Alligator mississippiensis: one gene and its partner. The protein of the gene in region 1 purifies or fractionates together with the protein of each later gene. This does not show direct contact. Links are inferred from orthologs where the notes say so. Each region holds a gene or a part of one and is shown in the gene's direction. Other genes may lie near its edges.

Region 1 (7,707 bases):
CTTTGAAGGCTAATATCAGTTTAGATTGAATGGAGTTCCATATAATGTTTGAAAAAGGAAAAACTAATTCAGATACAAGTGGCTCCAGATACTGTAGCCTAGTTTACATCTGGATAATTAATAAGATATGATTAAGCAAACTACATGTCCATTTCTGCTGAGTGCAGGCCAATTTTGGGAGGCTAAGGCTGAGTGCAGACATTAATTTCTACCAGAAGAAATTGCTTATGGTAGAAAAATACCCTGGGAGCTGGACTGTACAAATCTCCCTCAGGCCCGTTGGCTGGAGAACTTCACAGGCAAACTCTCCAGCAAAGGAGCAGTAGAGGGCTACTCCCTGGGCCACCCCTGCCCTTAGGGGAGCCCATTAATTGACAGCCTGCCCTCCCGCTTGCCTGAGAAGGAGACAGGCTATCAAGTGGAAGTTGACCTGCCACAGACAGTCCCAGGAGGGTCCAAGCTCTGAGAAAATGCCCTTCCCCCCCATCTTGCCAATCAGCTGATAGGTAGGAGGGGGACATTCTCCTAGTGCTTTGAGCCCTCCTGCTTCTCCTCTGCAAGAGAACAGCCCTGCTCCTTGCACTCCTTGGGCGCGTCCACACATGTAGTCACGTGCGCTCAAATAAAAGCAATGCAAATTTGAGCCAGGGCTTTTTGCCTCAGCACATGTACCGACATGCACTTGGGTGTGGTGAAAGTTGTGCCACGTGGGGCAATATAACCCTGCCTGGTTCCTCCCAGATCTGTGGCCAGGGGAAGCTAGAGCCTGGGGCCAACACTTGTGCTGGCCCCAGCAGTGTAAAAAGCTGCCCTGTCCTGGCCCCAGCAGTACAAAAAGCTGCCCTGGCAAGTAGCTCAGGAGTATGCTCTCTCAGGAACTTCTGGGGCCTGACCAATTTGTAGCTGGGGACACTACCCCTTGTGCCAGCTGGATTGCTAAAGCAGCCCTGAGAGTTCCCTGTGCCCTCTACCCACTGCAGCAGTCTGGCAGTGGGGGCTGCTGCCTGGCTGTGACCTGCTGCGCAACTGCCAGACCTGGATGGGGACTGCACAGCCAGTAGAGGCATCTGCCCCTCTGGGCCAGCTGCCAGTAGGCTGTGGCTGCAGAGTTGGCCTTTGTGTAGCATTACTGCCATGTGTGCCCCTGCCTGGCCATCTGGGCAGCTATCACACAGATGTTCCCAGTGTGGTGGCCTTTGAACTGTCAAAGCATGTCCTCCTGGCCCCAAATGGCCAGGAGGTGCACCACTTCCAGCTGGGTCTAAGGTGCCAGCTCAGAGCAGGCTCCTCTGCCTGGGTCCTGCCACTTGCCTCCCCAGCAGAAATTCTAGTGTTCCCTATTTGAAAACTGAAGAACCCCTGCTTAAAAAATCCCTAAGTCACTCTGTACAATACCCTGAAATCCATGTTCTTCCACAATTAAAACAAAAGACCACTATATAGAGAGAGAGCAGGAGGCAGAGAGACAAAGAAACAGTGATCAGTTGGGCAATGTTTTATTGATATATCTACAACGTCAAAGCAATTTGGAAGCCTACCAGTATCTCTATCATCATAATAAAATGAATTCTAAATACCTATGTTTTGCTGTTTGCCTTTGATTTTCTTACCATCAGTTTAAGAGAATCAGATAATGTTTTCAGAGGATCTGGGTGCCAGGAATATGTAACTTCTTTTTTCTTTTTCTTTTTCCTTTTCAGCTCTTTTTTGTTCTTATCTTGTGCCAGCTTATTTGGCCCTTCTGTATCACACCTGCCTCTGCTCAATGCTTGAATCAGCTTTTCAGGAGGCAGCACTTGCTGTCTGTAGCTGACAAGAGGTGATCTCCGTGGCAGAATGGATTTTCTGTCTTTTTCTTCTTGTTGGCTCTTTTCTGTGTTCTTTTTTTCCCCCGTCTTTCTTATGTATACTCACCTTACATTTCACTCTAGTCTTTCTTTTCTCTCCTGGCTCTTTCTCTGTGAGGTCCCCCTCCCTTTTCCCGCCATCCTTTCCCTGTAAAGAAATAGCTCTTTCAGTGACTGCGGATTTCTGGAATGTGTGGAGGAAGAGCTTTCCCCCTTTTTCATACTGACTCTGCTCCACCCTTTTAATTCAAAATGCTGAATGAATGAGTGTTCAGAAAGTGGATCTGAGCCTCAGAACTACAATGGGGAGAATCCAGATTGCCAGTATACTTTATAGCATAAAGTACATTTTTATCATGATGTGTTTCTTTATTTCAATTTGGGGAAGTATGCTTATACCAAGTTCTGATGCATATATACGCTTTATCAGTACAAACAGTACAGTCACGTTATTATTTATTTAAGATTTGTTTTCTGTGTTGTACAGCATGCAGACACAGATAGCTGCTTCCACAAAACTTATAATCAACTTGTAGTACTTCTGAATTTTCTGTCTGCTTATGTGGCCTTTGACATAGTTTCTGAGCACCTTACAGCCATGAATGAACATGTTCTCATAGCAGTAGGGCAAGATGAGAGTGCTGTTGCCCATTTAACAAAGAAGTAAATGAGGGACAGAGCATAAGGGACTTGGCAAACGTTACACAGGAAGCCTTTGGCAGAGCTGATAATAAACCAGTTCTTCCTCATACTGGTCTGGTATCATATGGTATCTGGTATCATATCTAGCCATCAAAGCATGAAGACTGGCTTGTGATATTCTGATCTTTCATGCAGGAAATTGCAGAGGTGAATCTGAATAAGTAGAGCACATACTTTTTAGGATTCTGTTAAGTGATACGATTTTGGCCCCTACTATAGACAGTGTTGTCATAGCACAATAGTTTTTAGAAATAAGAAGTACTTGAATATGACATACTTCCTCCCGTGCAGACCTGTGATCCATCACTCAACTACAAGCCTAGAGAATATGGATTTTAATCTAGCCTTTTAACTAATGCCGGTTAATCCTGCTGTGCACTTCACAACATTTACTATTAAGCAAGACTTCATGCTTCTACCTTATGCTTTAACCATCATTCAGAGAAAGCTTTGACCGTTCAGGCAGAGGTGGGAATAGACCTCAGGTAAGTACTACAATGCAGCCCAGTCCTAGCCATGTGCCACAGTTTTTAAAAGCATACCAAATTTGATCCTTCTGTAGTCCACAGTATTGTTTTGTACCATCCTGCAGTAAGTAGCTAGCCCACATATGGAGGCTTACATTTTTGGTTCTATTTCTGTATTCAGTGACTTGATTCTTTAGCTCAAGTGGCAGAGATTAATGCTTTTGCATCCAAAAGTCTGGAGTTCAGTCCCTTAACTAACCCAAATGGGAATGTTCATACTTTAGTTATCTCTTACCACTAAATCCTGGCTGCAATTCCTGCAAGGGCCAACACGTCTCTCAAATGCTTATAATCTGCTGTTTTGTTTCTTTGTGGTTTGGTGTGGTCACCAGAAAGAATATGGGCAGCTTTCTGGGGTTTTGTACCCCGTTAGTCTAACAGCTGCAGATTGTGCTGTAGATCTGAAGCCATCAGATTCAAAAGATAAAAGGAAAAAATATTTATATGAAATCTTGTGTAAGGACCCTTAACCAATTGTACTTAATTTATGTTCAGCAACATCATATTTGGATGTGAATCTATGTGCTAACATGTGTTGTTCCCACCTTTTTAGTGGGAACCGGAGCTTTTAAGAACAGGGTGCGGCAGCGTGTGCACCGCTGTCTGGAAGATGTCCTGTGTCTGCAGAGGACAAGCCCTGCTTCTGTATGAACTCCAGAAAGGTCAGAAATTACATTTAATCCTCAAAGATGGAACATGCAAGCCTTGGCTCCCAGCATCCTGCTGGATTTCCAGGTTTTAGTGAAGTTAGACAAAGAGCAGAAATATGTTGGACCAGGTCCTTTATGTTGGATGTTGACACCTTAAATGTGTTTTCCAGTCAAATTGGAGAAGACAGTTACACTCCTCAAGGCCCTGCCTAGAGCACAGGCAGATTTAGCATTTAACCCCTGACTACCATGCCCTCCCTACAGAATTGGCAAGCCTCTCCTGCCGCCTTTCTCCATCTGTCCGGTGAGGAGTCTGCTCTGAAGCCTGCGGGGCCAGATCTCCCCCGCTTTTGCATCCTCCTTCTCGCTGCGGGGCTCCAAGAGCTGCCAGGTCGGGGTGTCAATCCGGGCAGCTGGAGTAAGAAGTGGCTCCTCGTGCCCACGCGCCTGCCAGGGCCGCCTGCCGCCCGCACGAGCCTTGCCGGAAGGCAGCTGTCCTGGGAGCCTGCACCCTGGCTCCCTCGGCCTGCGCCAGGAGCTGCACCTCACCGGGCGGGGTCGGGTCGGGCTGAGGAAAGCGCCCGGCCGCCGGCGCGCCCGGAACAATAGCGGGGCCGGGGCTCCGGCCGCCGGGGGCTGAAGCCCGGCAGCAGCCGAGCGGGCGGGCGGGCGGGGGAGGAGCCGGGCCGGGGCCGGATTGGCAGCAGGCGGCGTGATGCCACGTCCGGCGGGGGAAGCCCTGCCTCGCGGCGAGCCGTGCAGGTGGCGCCGGGTGAGCCCCGCCGGCACACAGCGGCGGCCCCGCGGGATGCGCGCCCCGCCCCCGCGCTAGCGCCCGCCCCGCCCCGCCCCGCCCCGCGGCATCGGCTCCGGCCGCGCTGCCCCCGCCCCGCCCCGCCCCGCCCCGCCAGCCGGGCCCCGGGGCGGCGGGAGCAGGGATGCGCGGGGGAGGTGGAGCTGAGCGCCGCGTCGTGTGAGCGCGCCCAGCCCAGCCCAGCCCAGCCCAGCCCCAGCCGGGGGCAGCGGCGGCGGCAGCGGCGGCGGGACCTTGGGCTCGTCCTTCGCGCGGCGGGGCCGGGAGCGGGGCGCAGCGGCCGAGGATGCATCTCTTCCCGTGGGGATTGTGGCTGCTGTGCGTCGCGTCCTCCTCGGCTCGGGGCGACAGCGGCGGCAAAGCCAAGAGCTGCGCCGAGCTCCGGCAGCTCTATGGGAGCAAAGGGTTCAGCCTGAGCGGGGTCCCCCAGGCGGAGATCTCCGGTGAGTAGCGCCGAGCCGCGGCTTTGTCCTGGCTGGAGGAGACCCCCCCCCCCCAAACCCACAGGGTCTCGAGCAACCCCTCCCTCCCTCCCTCCCTCCCCTGACTCGGAGGCAGCGGTCCGCAGCCCCTGGGCCGGGGACCCGTCTGGGTGAGAGCCGCCTTATCCGCATCCACCGCTGCCCTGAAGTTGGGATCTGCTGGACGGGAACTTGGGCTGGTTTTCAGGTGCGGAGGAGAGAGGAAGGATGGAGGGTTAGGGACCACTCCTCCCCTCCCCCCCTCCTTAATTAAAAGTCCTACCTTCCATCTCTCCCCCGAGCTGGACCCCCAAAGTCACCTCGGCCATTGTCATGGTCCCGGGTAGCGGGTGTTTCTCTGGTGCCAACCGGGGTGTGTGACGGTTCACAGATATCAGGTGGCTGACTAGTGGGGGGGGGGATATAGCAGACCCTCTTTGTCTTGCTCCTCCAGTGGCAGCGATGTGGGGGATTCAGCTCAGACGGTCAGGATCAAGCAGGTTTCATGTCAACGCTAGAAAACGCCACAGGGTTATAAAGAGAACAGTACTGATTTTTCCTGTCCTCTTTTTGGATTGGAAACAAATGCATGAGCAGCACTTGTCAGCTGTGTAAAATGAAGCCGAAGTGAAATGACTCTTTGTCAGGTGTTCGAAAGGCAGCGGTAACCTCAGCCACCCACATCAGCATGTATTCCTGTTACCTGACTACTATCTATACAGAGGGCCAACACGATTTGATTTGATTTTTTTTTTTTTAAACAAATGCACAGTGTTTTTTGTTTCCCTTTCAGAAGGGATCTGAAATAGAAAAAGAGAGACTATAGAAAGGTCTCATGTAGGGTTTTACAAAGCCTGGGAAAAATCTGCTGAGATTTCACGCATGCCTCTTCTTTATTTCTTAAAAGTTTTTTTTTCTACGTTCTGATTCATCAGCTTGTGACCCATATCTAGGAGCTTTTTTGCTCACTTGTGGGAGCTTCCCAGTTTAGACAAAGCGTAAGGCATGCAGGCGTACGTGCCAAAGCCAACCTACGGGGACATCCCAGCAAAATTGTAGTTTGTAGTTCATTTCTGAGTGGTGGAATTTCTTATGCTGAATACTTTATAGCGTAGTTTTACAGCAAATGTCTTCATTATCTGCCCTGAAAATGGAGGAGGTTGATCTTCAGCTCAAGTAAATGGCATATAAATGTGAACAAATGATTATTTTCTTTATTAAGTAGGAACCAAAGGGAGATTTTCAAGTACAATAGGAAGGTCCTGTGGAGAATTTAAAAATCCTTTAAATGGGAGCTCCTTAAAAATGAATTCAGTTAAGCAAAAACATCACTTCTTTGTTCTTGATTATTCCGTGTATCTGTAAGCAATGGCTTAAACATGTCAAACAACTGTGAAGTTTTTTCAAGGGAGTTGAACACTTAAATATTGTCATGTGGAGGTGGATAAGGTGCCAAATGGAATGATAGTACCGTAGGATTCAATATCAGTTGTATTTTGTGATTGTGAGAAATGCATTGCATCAGATACAAATATCACATATCTCTGGGTCCAAGACATATAAAACTTATTGTGTCTAGAAAATGCTGAGTTTAGTAAAGATATAATGGAGGAGAGAGATGTTTAGGAGCTACATTTATTATCTCTTAAACGCTAGCACGCTTGCAGGCTCAAACAACAGTAGCTGAAATAATGTAGTGTCAAACTGCTTGTCTGTGACTATATGTTATGATTAATAGTGATGGTGATAAATATGGTCTTCTAATCAGATATATATTCTTATGAGAATTTATTTAATGAACTGTAGATAGGACCAGGGAAAAGAATCTATCCACACAAATATGCTGCTGCCAATACTCCCAGCTTTTGTACTGAAACATCAAAACGATGAACACAGTCATACATGCCTGAAACTGATAAGTATTTCGAAATTTCCATCTGTGTAGCTTTAATATCCATCCAGTTGAGATAAAACATCAATGTATTTTGCTACAAATATGCTTATGTATGGGAAATGTTATTTGACACATGGTAATATACTGTATTTGCTTCTGATTTGTTGACTATCACTGTGTATAAGATGTTTGGTCTATATTTAATAAAAATATGGTAGTAGTTGAGAAGAAACCACTTCATAGCATCCCCAAATGTACTGAGTATAATACCATTCTACACTTGTGAACAGCTCAGTTTGTTAAGCAACCCAATTTTGTTGGCACTTTGAATGGTCACTTAACACCACTTGTTCTGTATTTAGTTCATCTTGGTGACCAAGAGGGCCATAATCCATATGGCAGAACCTGCGTCAGATTAAGATTCCAGTCACGTCTAGAAATGTCTACACATCAACAAACAGCAGGAGCAGCATTAGTTAAGTAAAAAGAAAAATGCTGATTAAGATAGTTCAGTAACAAGCAGCCTAGTTCTACTTTGACCTGTGAGGTGATTTGAGGAAGCCGTTTCCTAGTGCTACCCATGCACATTGTTAGAAGGAGTGGAGAGCACCGGTTTTCCAGCCTTCCTTGTTCACTTTGTTTTCCCACTTCAGTTATCCTTTATTTCTTCCTTCCTATCCCACTTTCTCTCCCATTTTCCTCCCTCAGCAAAGTGAGAACTCACTTTATTAGCATCGTTCCCTGCCTCCAAGAATTTGATTACCAGCAGAGTACATTGCTGCTGCTGCTCTTAGGACCGACTCCAAGTTCTG
Region 2 (7,659 bases), on another chromosome or scaffold:
TCCCCATAGCTTTGTGTCATCTGCAAACTTGGACAGAGTACACTTCACTCCCTCGTCCAAGTCGCTGATGAAGGCATTGAAGAGTATCGGTCCAAGGACTGAGCCCTGCGGGAGCCCACTGCCCACACCCTTCCAGGTCGAAACCGACCCATCCACCACGACTTCCCCACTCAGACCTCCTAAGTCGCATAGACTTCATGCTGCTTGAGGTGGAAACAGCCTAAATGGCTGCTCCTGTAGAGCCATTCCTCCTGTAGAGCCACGGAGAGAGGCTGTTTCCTTTTAGCATCTACCCACAACATCCATCGCTGCTGAAATCCCACCTGCTTCTGTTCAGCTTTCACCAAGAAGCTCTCTCAAGAGCAGGTCAGGACTACCAGTAGCCACTGCAGCCGACACATGCTTCTCCTGGGCCTGAGAGCCACAGACCTCAACACTAATAAAAATGCTGCTCCCCAACTAGCATGCTGCAAATGCACTGGATGGGAAGCATAAACTCCTGCACTCACAGCTACTACAGAAGCTTATATATTGAGCATGAGCAAGATCCTTTGGGCTGTGGCTTTTCCAGAGGCAAGTGATTTCCCAGAAGAGGGAGCAGCAATCAATGAGGCATCAGCAATCAGCCTACATGCTCAGATAAGCAGAACACGTATCCTGCACTTTGCTTTGCAGCTGGGCTCTTCCTCCACCCCCAGCCACGTGATCTTGGCTCATCGCTGAAAGCGATGAGTGCACTTTGGCCTACATTCTGCTGTGTCTCCTGCAACGGGAGAGGACGTGAACTCTGCCCCACATTCCAGCGTGCGCAGGATGCATGGAGGAGAAACTGCTTTGCGGGGATGGAAAGTGTGTGCCACATTTAGATTTGGCAGCCTCCTTCCTGAAAGGGTGGGAGTGATGTGCTCCCAGCACCATTTGATAAAGACACTTAGCAACCAGTTCACACCTTCAGACTGCTCTTTCAGAAGATTTTTGGCCAAGAAGGAGGTCTAGATCGTAAGCGCTCTGTGCAACCTTTGATATCCTTAAGCTTCTAAGAGAAGCTCACAGACTTATCACCTAGAAATCACCTCATCTCCAAAAAGCAAAGCATTCACATGACTAGCATCACCCCAGACGCAGCCAACTTAGAGAGCAGGTGTGAGAACGAAGGGATCCATTTGCCATTCAGCTAAAAATGCAGCCCCGATTTGTGTCACTTTGGCAGTGTATACCTAAGAGAAGGGCAGCTGTGAGCTGCCTTGTAGCATATCCTCACTTGGGCCCACAGAGTGCCCCATTGTAGGCACAACAAGAGATGGGCAAGGAAAAATATTGACTCCTGCTGACCAAAGGACAACAGGTAGCAATTCCCCTCCTACCCTCATATGAGGGCCTGTGTTAAGGTCAACCTTAGTACAGGAAGGGCAGCAATATAACAGGAGCCATAAACAGGTGCACTGTTATATGGAGTATGAAACGTCTGCACGATGACATACGGCAGCGTTCCAGACTTCACCAAATACAGCTACATTTCTAAGATGTAGCTACATTTCAAAAGAAAAAAGACTCGATTGAAAAGTAGATAAATAACTGAAGAGATGAACCAATCTTCTGCCATTTCAACGGTCTAATAGACATTTGCCGCTGCCCCTTATAAGCTTTTCTTAAAAGACGCATGCTTCCCATTCTCACTTTCCCTTCAAGTTTCAGTAAGAAGGTACAAAGCCAAAAATCTGGAACAAGACACCATACATGTCACCACAGCCAATTCCTCTGTACGCTGGCTATTTAAACAGATTGCAAGCTCTTGGGGCAGGAGTTTCTCAGTACAGTTAACTAAAATTTTGATGGCACAGAAAAACCTATCAGAAATGGCACAAAGCAGAGACAGATGCAGATCTCAGGCTGTTACTTGGTTCTGAACATAAAAGGTCCCATTGACGGGGAGACTGAGGCACACAGGAACTAGGGAGGGAAAACTTGCTACCCATCTTGTAAATTACTAATTAGAGGGCACAAATCAGAGTTCGGACAGCGCTGAGTCCACACACTCATTTCAAAGTAGGATTGTGCCTATTTGGTGAGGCACCACCTGTAATAAACTACAGAATGAGCAACATCCCATTTACCCTAATAGAATGGTCTGTCATTTTGTTTCATTTTTAAATTTTCTGCCCTATTTTATTTGCTTTGCACTGTCTCTCTTTCCACACTTCCCCACTCAGGCCTCCTAAGTCGCATGGACTTCATGCTGCTTGAGGTGGAAACAGCCTCTCTCCGTGGCTCTACAGGACAAGACCATTTCATAGACATTAGGGCTAGAAGGGACCTCGGAAGATCTTTGTGTGCAGTCCCCTGCCCCCAGGGCAGGAAGTCACCTGGGGTCACAGGATCCCACTTGAAGTTCTGGAGCTACTCTGAGTATGAAGGGAGTACGAAAACTGATGCTTAGCATGGCGGGCTGTTGTCTAAACTTGCAGCCCTGCTCCTGGGGGCTGCTTACACACACAGCTGCACTTGAAACACCAAGAGATGCGAGATACAGGACCGTCAAGGAACCGTCTGTTTGCAACTGGGGTGTGAGAGGATGGATCCAAAGTCCACGCGGCTTTCATCACATCAGCGGCTCTTTTTGGTGTTTTGCCTACCCTTACAAATCTTGAACCTTTTATTGGGCAAAGACTGACGGGGGGGTGGGGGGGGGGGAAACATCTGAAGAACAAAGAACAATTTCCAGACAAAACTTCCATCCCCCTTATGGACTAGGAGCAATGGCCTCAAGCTGCAGCAGAGGAAATTTAGGTTGGAGATTTGGAGGAACGTTTTTGACCGAGAGTGGTCAAGCACTGGAACAGGTTACTTGGGGAAACTGTGGTGTCTCCATCCCTGGAAATATTTAAAAGCAAGTTGGACAGGCACTTGGCTGGGATGGTTTGGTCAGGGATAGCCCAGCCTTGAGTTGGGAGGTGGACGAGATGACCTTGCGAGGTCTCTACTAGCCCTACTTTCCTATGATCGTGGTGGTGGGGGGAAAGTAAAGGTGAAACATTACATATTTTAAGGGGCAGCATTAACAATCAGAACAAGGACTCTACAAGCAAAAAATAAAAATGCAAGTATACAATACGGCTTCTGCCAATTCACCCATCACATTATTTTTTAGCGCTCCTTGCCATAGTTTGCATGGTCACAGACATTTAGATTGATTTAGAGCTGTAACGCTGTTTCAAAACCCAGGTCCCTTTGTACGACACAACTTTTCACGTACCGGGAGTAAAAAACCTCCCTCCAACGATCGCATCCCGCGACCAGCCAAGGATGAGCGCTGACCGGCCTCTGGCACCGACGCAAACAGACACCAAGAACTGGAACAACCAGCACGAGACAAAGCAACACGTCCCACTGTAAAGACGCAGCCCCCAGGTTAAAAAGCCCAAGGAAACCGGTGATCTCTCATCAGCGGCAAGCGAATATACCGAATGTAGTTCGTTTTGACCCTGAGATTAAGCCATTCGATTTAAGCATCATAAGCTTTGCTCTTCTGTTTGACTGGAGAGACGCCCACAGAGAGCTCTGGCTGCCACGGACCTGACGCTTCTCTGCAGACACACTCACGTGCTGGTCGCCGAAGTTGCCTTCCCGCGCTACGAAGTCAAGAAGCAGGAATTTGCTCGTCGTTCAGCCCCAAGGAAACGCCTCCCCCTCGTTCCTGTCCCCCTCCCCAAGGTGAAAAACTCCTTTGGAAAAGGAGGGAGTGGGTCTATTGATATCTGGGGGGGGGGGGGCAGTGTGAGACGCTGACCCCAACGAGCCCCACGCACCTGAACCGGGAAGGGGACGCTCTGGGGGAGGCTTCAACCCCCGCAACACATGGAGGGAGCGGGGGAGGGGGGAGGGGAAGGAAAGCGGGGGGGGGGGTGCCCCCCACAGCACAGCACGAGCATCGCTGCGCCCGCACCGGACCGCCGCAGGAAATTAATCGCAAATCATCGTCGAAACGCAGCGATTAGCCGCAAATCATAACGCAACGCAGGGCGCGACCGCGACTCGAAAAGCGAATCCCTGCGATTACGAGTGGGGTTCACCTTCAGCCCGCGAATCACAGAAATCAAGCGCTGATCACGGGCGCTGCCCCCCCGAATCCTACTCAGTCATGGGCGCTGCCCTCCCCCTCTCCATCAACCCCCGGAGCCTCATCCATCACGGGAATTAATCATCTTAATCGTTAATCGCACAAATTAGTCACAAATCCTGATGAGCCGGCGCTCACCGCGGAGGAGGCGCAGGGCGCGGGGGCAGAGGCCGGGGCGGGCGGCGGCCGGGATCCGCGCGAGGCTGCCCATGGCGCGCACCGCCGCCGCCATCTTGCGCAGGGAGGTCAGACGCGGCCACCCTGCCCCTCGCGGGGGCCTTTCTCGACGCCGTCGCGCCCCCGGGCTGCCCTGGCGGTGCCTGATTCGCCGCCGCCGCCCTCGAAAGCCCCCGCGAGCCCCTCCCCCGCAACTGGCCCGTGCCCGCCGGGCGGAGGAGGCGGCGGCTGGCATCAGGCAGCGCAAGGGGCAGCTATGAGGGCTGGTGGCGCGGGGTCCTCCCTGGCGGGGGGCCGGGGGCAGGGGCGGGGCTTGCGGGCGCGGGGAGACGGCGCTGGGGCAGGAGGTGGGTGCGGGCGCGTGACGTGACGTGGGGCGCCCCCGTCTCCATGGCGACCCCGAGGGGCCTGGGGGCGTCAGGCGGGGAGGGCTGTTATGTTGGGGGGGGCACAAGTGACACGGGCGGAATGGGGGTGCGAGGGGGCAGGGAGCGGAAAGCGGAGCAGGGGAGTGGGCAGGTAGCGGAGAGCAGAGCAGCCGATGGGGCAGGAGCACAGGGCTGGGAGCGGAAAGCAGAGTAGTGGATTGGACTGAGAGCACATGGTGGGGAGTGGAAAGCAGAGCAGCCGATGGGGCAGGAGCGCGGGGCTGGGAGCGGAAAGCAGAGTAGTGAATTGGACTGAGAGCACATGGTGGGGAGCGGAAAGCAGAGCAGCCGATGGGGCAGGAGCGCGGGGCTGGGAGCAGAAAGCAGAGTAGTGGATTGGACCGAGAGCACAGGGCGGGGAGCAGAAAGCAGAGTAGTGGATTGGACCGAGAGCACAGGGCGGGGAGCGGAAAGCAGAGTAGTGGATTGGACCGAGAGCACAGGGCGGGGAGCGGAAAGCAGAGTAGTGGATTGGACCGAGAGCGCAGGGCGGGGAGCAGAAAGCAGAGTAGTGGATTGGACCGAGAGCACAGGGCGGGGAGCGGAAAGCAGAGTAGTGGATTGGACTGAGAGCACAGGGCGGGGAGCGGAAAGCAGAGTAGTGGATTGGACCGAGAGCACAGGGCGGGGAGCGGAAAGCAGAGTAGTGGATTGGACCGAGAGCGCAGGGCGGGGAGCAGAAAGCAGAGTAGTGGATTGGACCGAGAGCACAGGGCGGGGAGTGGAAAGCAGAGTAGTGGATTGGACCTAGAGCACAGGGTGGGGAGCGGAAAGCAGAGTATTGGATTGGACCGAGAGCGCAGGGCGGGGAGCGGAAAGCAGAGTATTGGATTGGACCGAGAGCGCAGGGCGGGGAGCGGAAAGCAGAGTATTGGATTGGACCGAGAGCGCAGGGTGGGGAGCGGAAAGCAGAGCAGCCGATGGGGCAGGGGAACAGGGCTGGGAGCGGGAAGCAGATCTAGTTGGGCGGAGCAGTAAAAGGGGTCGCTAAAATGCCTTGGCTGGGTGTGGGGAAGGCAGGTTTACTTACACGTCCGTAGTCCGCGCTGCGCACGGGGCTGCTCAGAAACGCACCGGAAAGACGGGCCCGGCCCTAGCGCACCAGCGTGACCTTGACGTGGGTTCTCGCGTCTCCTTTTTCGCCGGCTGCGTGGCCCGAGCAGATTGCCCGCCCCGAAATCTCCCCGAGCAAACCAGCCAAGGCCGACTTTCATCTTTTTTTTTTCTCTCTCCCCTTACCATTGGTTGTAGATATCAAAATGACTTCCATGCTGACCCGTGCGATCCGAAGCCTCCCTTCTGCCTCACCGTGGGCTGTTGGACTCTGTAAGCATCTTTCTGTTTATTACCAATCGAATAGATGCAACCCAAAGAGATGCAAACATCTAGTTATTCTGAAGAAGTGGGTTTCAGGTGGACTCGGGAACGATCCCTGCATCCAAGTCTCATGCTAACGAGTGATTAGGAAAAAAAAAATGCTGCTTTTATATTCATTTCTGCCTAGGAGAACTTTTACAATCTTTTCTCCTAGGCTTGAAGAAGTGTGCTTGTGTCTGAAAGCTTGCAAATAAAGAATTTTTTTTGCAAACCTCTAGTTAGTCTAGTAAAAGATATCACCTTTACCACGAGTTCTGGTTCTTTCTGCTTTTAACATGCAGTTTTCTTACCTTCTTGCTGTGAAAATAGCACGTGTGTTGGTTATACGTAACATGCTGTTGAACGTGCAGTCAACTGAAAAAACCCACCTTTTTGCCGAATGCTTACCTGCAGCTGCTTTTGGTTACTTGAAACGGAAGTAAGAAAAGACCCAGCAGTTGTTAAAGAGTGCAGGTAACTTCCAGTAATTGTTTTGCCTGAAGACTGGAAAATTTTATACGTTTTCTCTTTATTTCAGCTGCAAGATCACTCAGCTGCTCCCCCCAGTTACAAGCAGCAGGTAAGGTGAAAGCACCAAAAACTTCAGTGGGTCTCTTTGAGAAGAATGCATTTACAAACTACCTCCCCTTCCCCAGGTGCTTCCCATGTAGATAAACACAGCAGAGGTTTTCCCTCTGTCCCTGTCTTTTTAAAACTAATGAACATCAACATACATTGTTAATTAGGCAAACAAAAACCCATGTTTTTGGAACTGATTTTTCCCTAAGTCCTTTCAACTCAACGTCAGGATCCTGAAAGTGAAACCGGTTTGATTATTGTTTGGGTAGATGACAGTTTAAGTATCTCTTGTCTCTTCCTTTTTTAAGTAGGGAACAAATCCGGTTTGTTGGCTCTGACATAGGCATAGGTGACTGGCAGGGCCTATATAGAAAGCCCTGGGTGAGATAAGGACTTCCCTTCAGCTCTTAGTAACAGTTGCGGAGACGCCGTAGGGGTAGAGAAGGCTCTAGTCACAGCTTGGAAGAGGGACTTGGGCTAGAGCGTGGACCGTGCGGCTCCAGTGGGACATTTGGACAAAGAGGATGAGCTGGAAGGGCCTAGGCTCCGTACTTATGCCTGGGCTTCCTGTCTCCCAAGAGCTTGCCTCTGGCAAGGACAGGCTTGTGGCATTAGGTATGAAGTCTGATCTGCTCTGAAAAGGATGCTCAGGCTTCAGTGTAGGTCTGTGTAATTAAGCCCTCAAAATGTTTACTGAGGATAGTGTTGCATGTTATTTCACTGAAACAATTGCTTTAACCCTGAGGGGGTTTTTTCAGTGTCTAAAGACCTCTGAATTTTAGAGCCCAGAGGCTCTGAGCTGGGAAGTGGCTCCTGCCTGCCCTTGCTCTCCTCAAATTAACCCCCTTTCATAATACAAGTGCACTACACCGTTCTCTTACATGAACCTTTGCTTGCTGCAACCCCAGCTAGAGCTAGAGCTAAGCTGCTTTCATGTACCATGCCCCTTCTCTGGTGGCTTCTAAATACGATCCCTTTGTACTGTCCCGTGTCTTAAATAAG

What was found.
Region 2: the proteins of GPC1 (region 1) and HADHB purify together in Homo sapiens (co-immunoprecipitation; 3 studies listed by BioGRID and IntAct, counting the BioPlex papers as one, with this or other methods). This does not show direct contact. The link is inferred for Alligator mississippiensis from reciprocal best matches to the Homo sapiens genes GPC1 and HADHB.

The regions. Positions count from the first base shown.
Region 1 is NC_081830.1:42,556,972-42,564,678, reverse strand, and holds the start of GPC1 (glypican-1), read left to right. Parts: upstream 1-4,644; 5' UTR 4,645-4,826; coding exon 4,827-4,983; intron 4,984-7,707. UniProt on the Homo sapiens protein: Cell surface proteoglycan that bears heparan sulfate. Binds, via the heparan sulfate side chains, alpha-4 (V) collagen and participates in Schwann cell myelination.
Region 2 is NC_081824.1:1,490,510-1,498,168, forward strand, and holds the start of HADHB (trifunctional enzyme subunit beta, mitochondrial), read left to right. Parts: upstream 1-4,542; 5' UTR 4,543-4,550; coding exon 4,551-4,641; intron 4,642-5,973; coding exon 5,974-6,048; intron 6,049-6,616; coding exon 6,617-6,658; intron 6,659-7,659. Other genes in the region: HADHA (trifunctional enzyme subunit alpha, mitochondrial), read right to left, coding at 4,256-4,349. UniProt on the Homo sapiens protein: Mitochondrial trifunctional enzyme catalyzes the last three of the four reactions of the mitochondrial beta-oxidation pathway.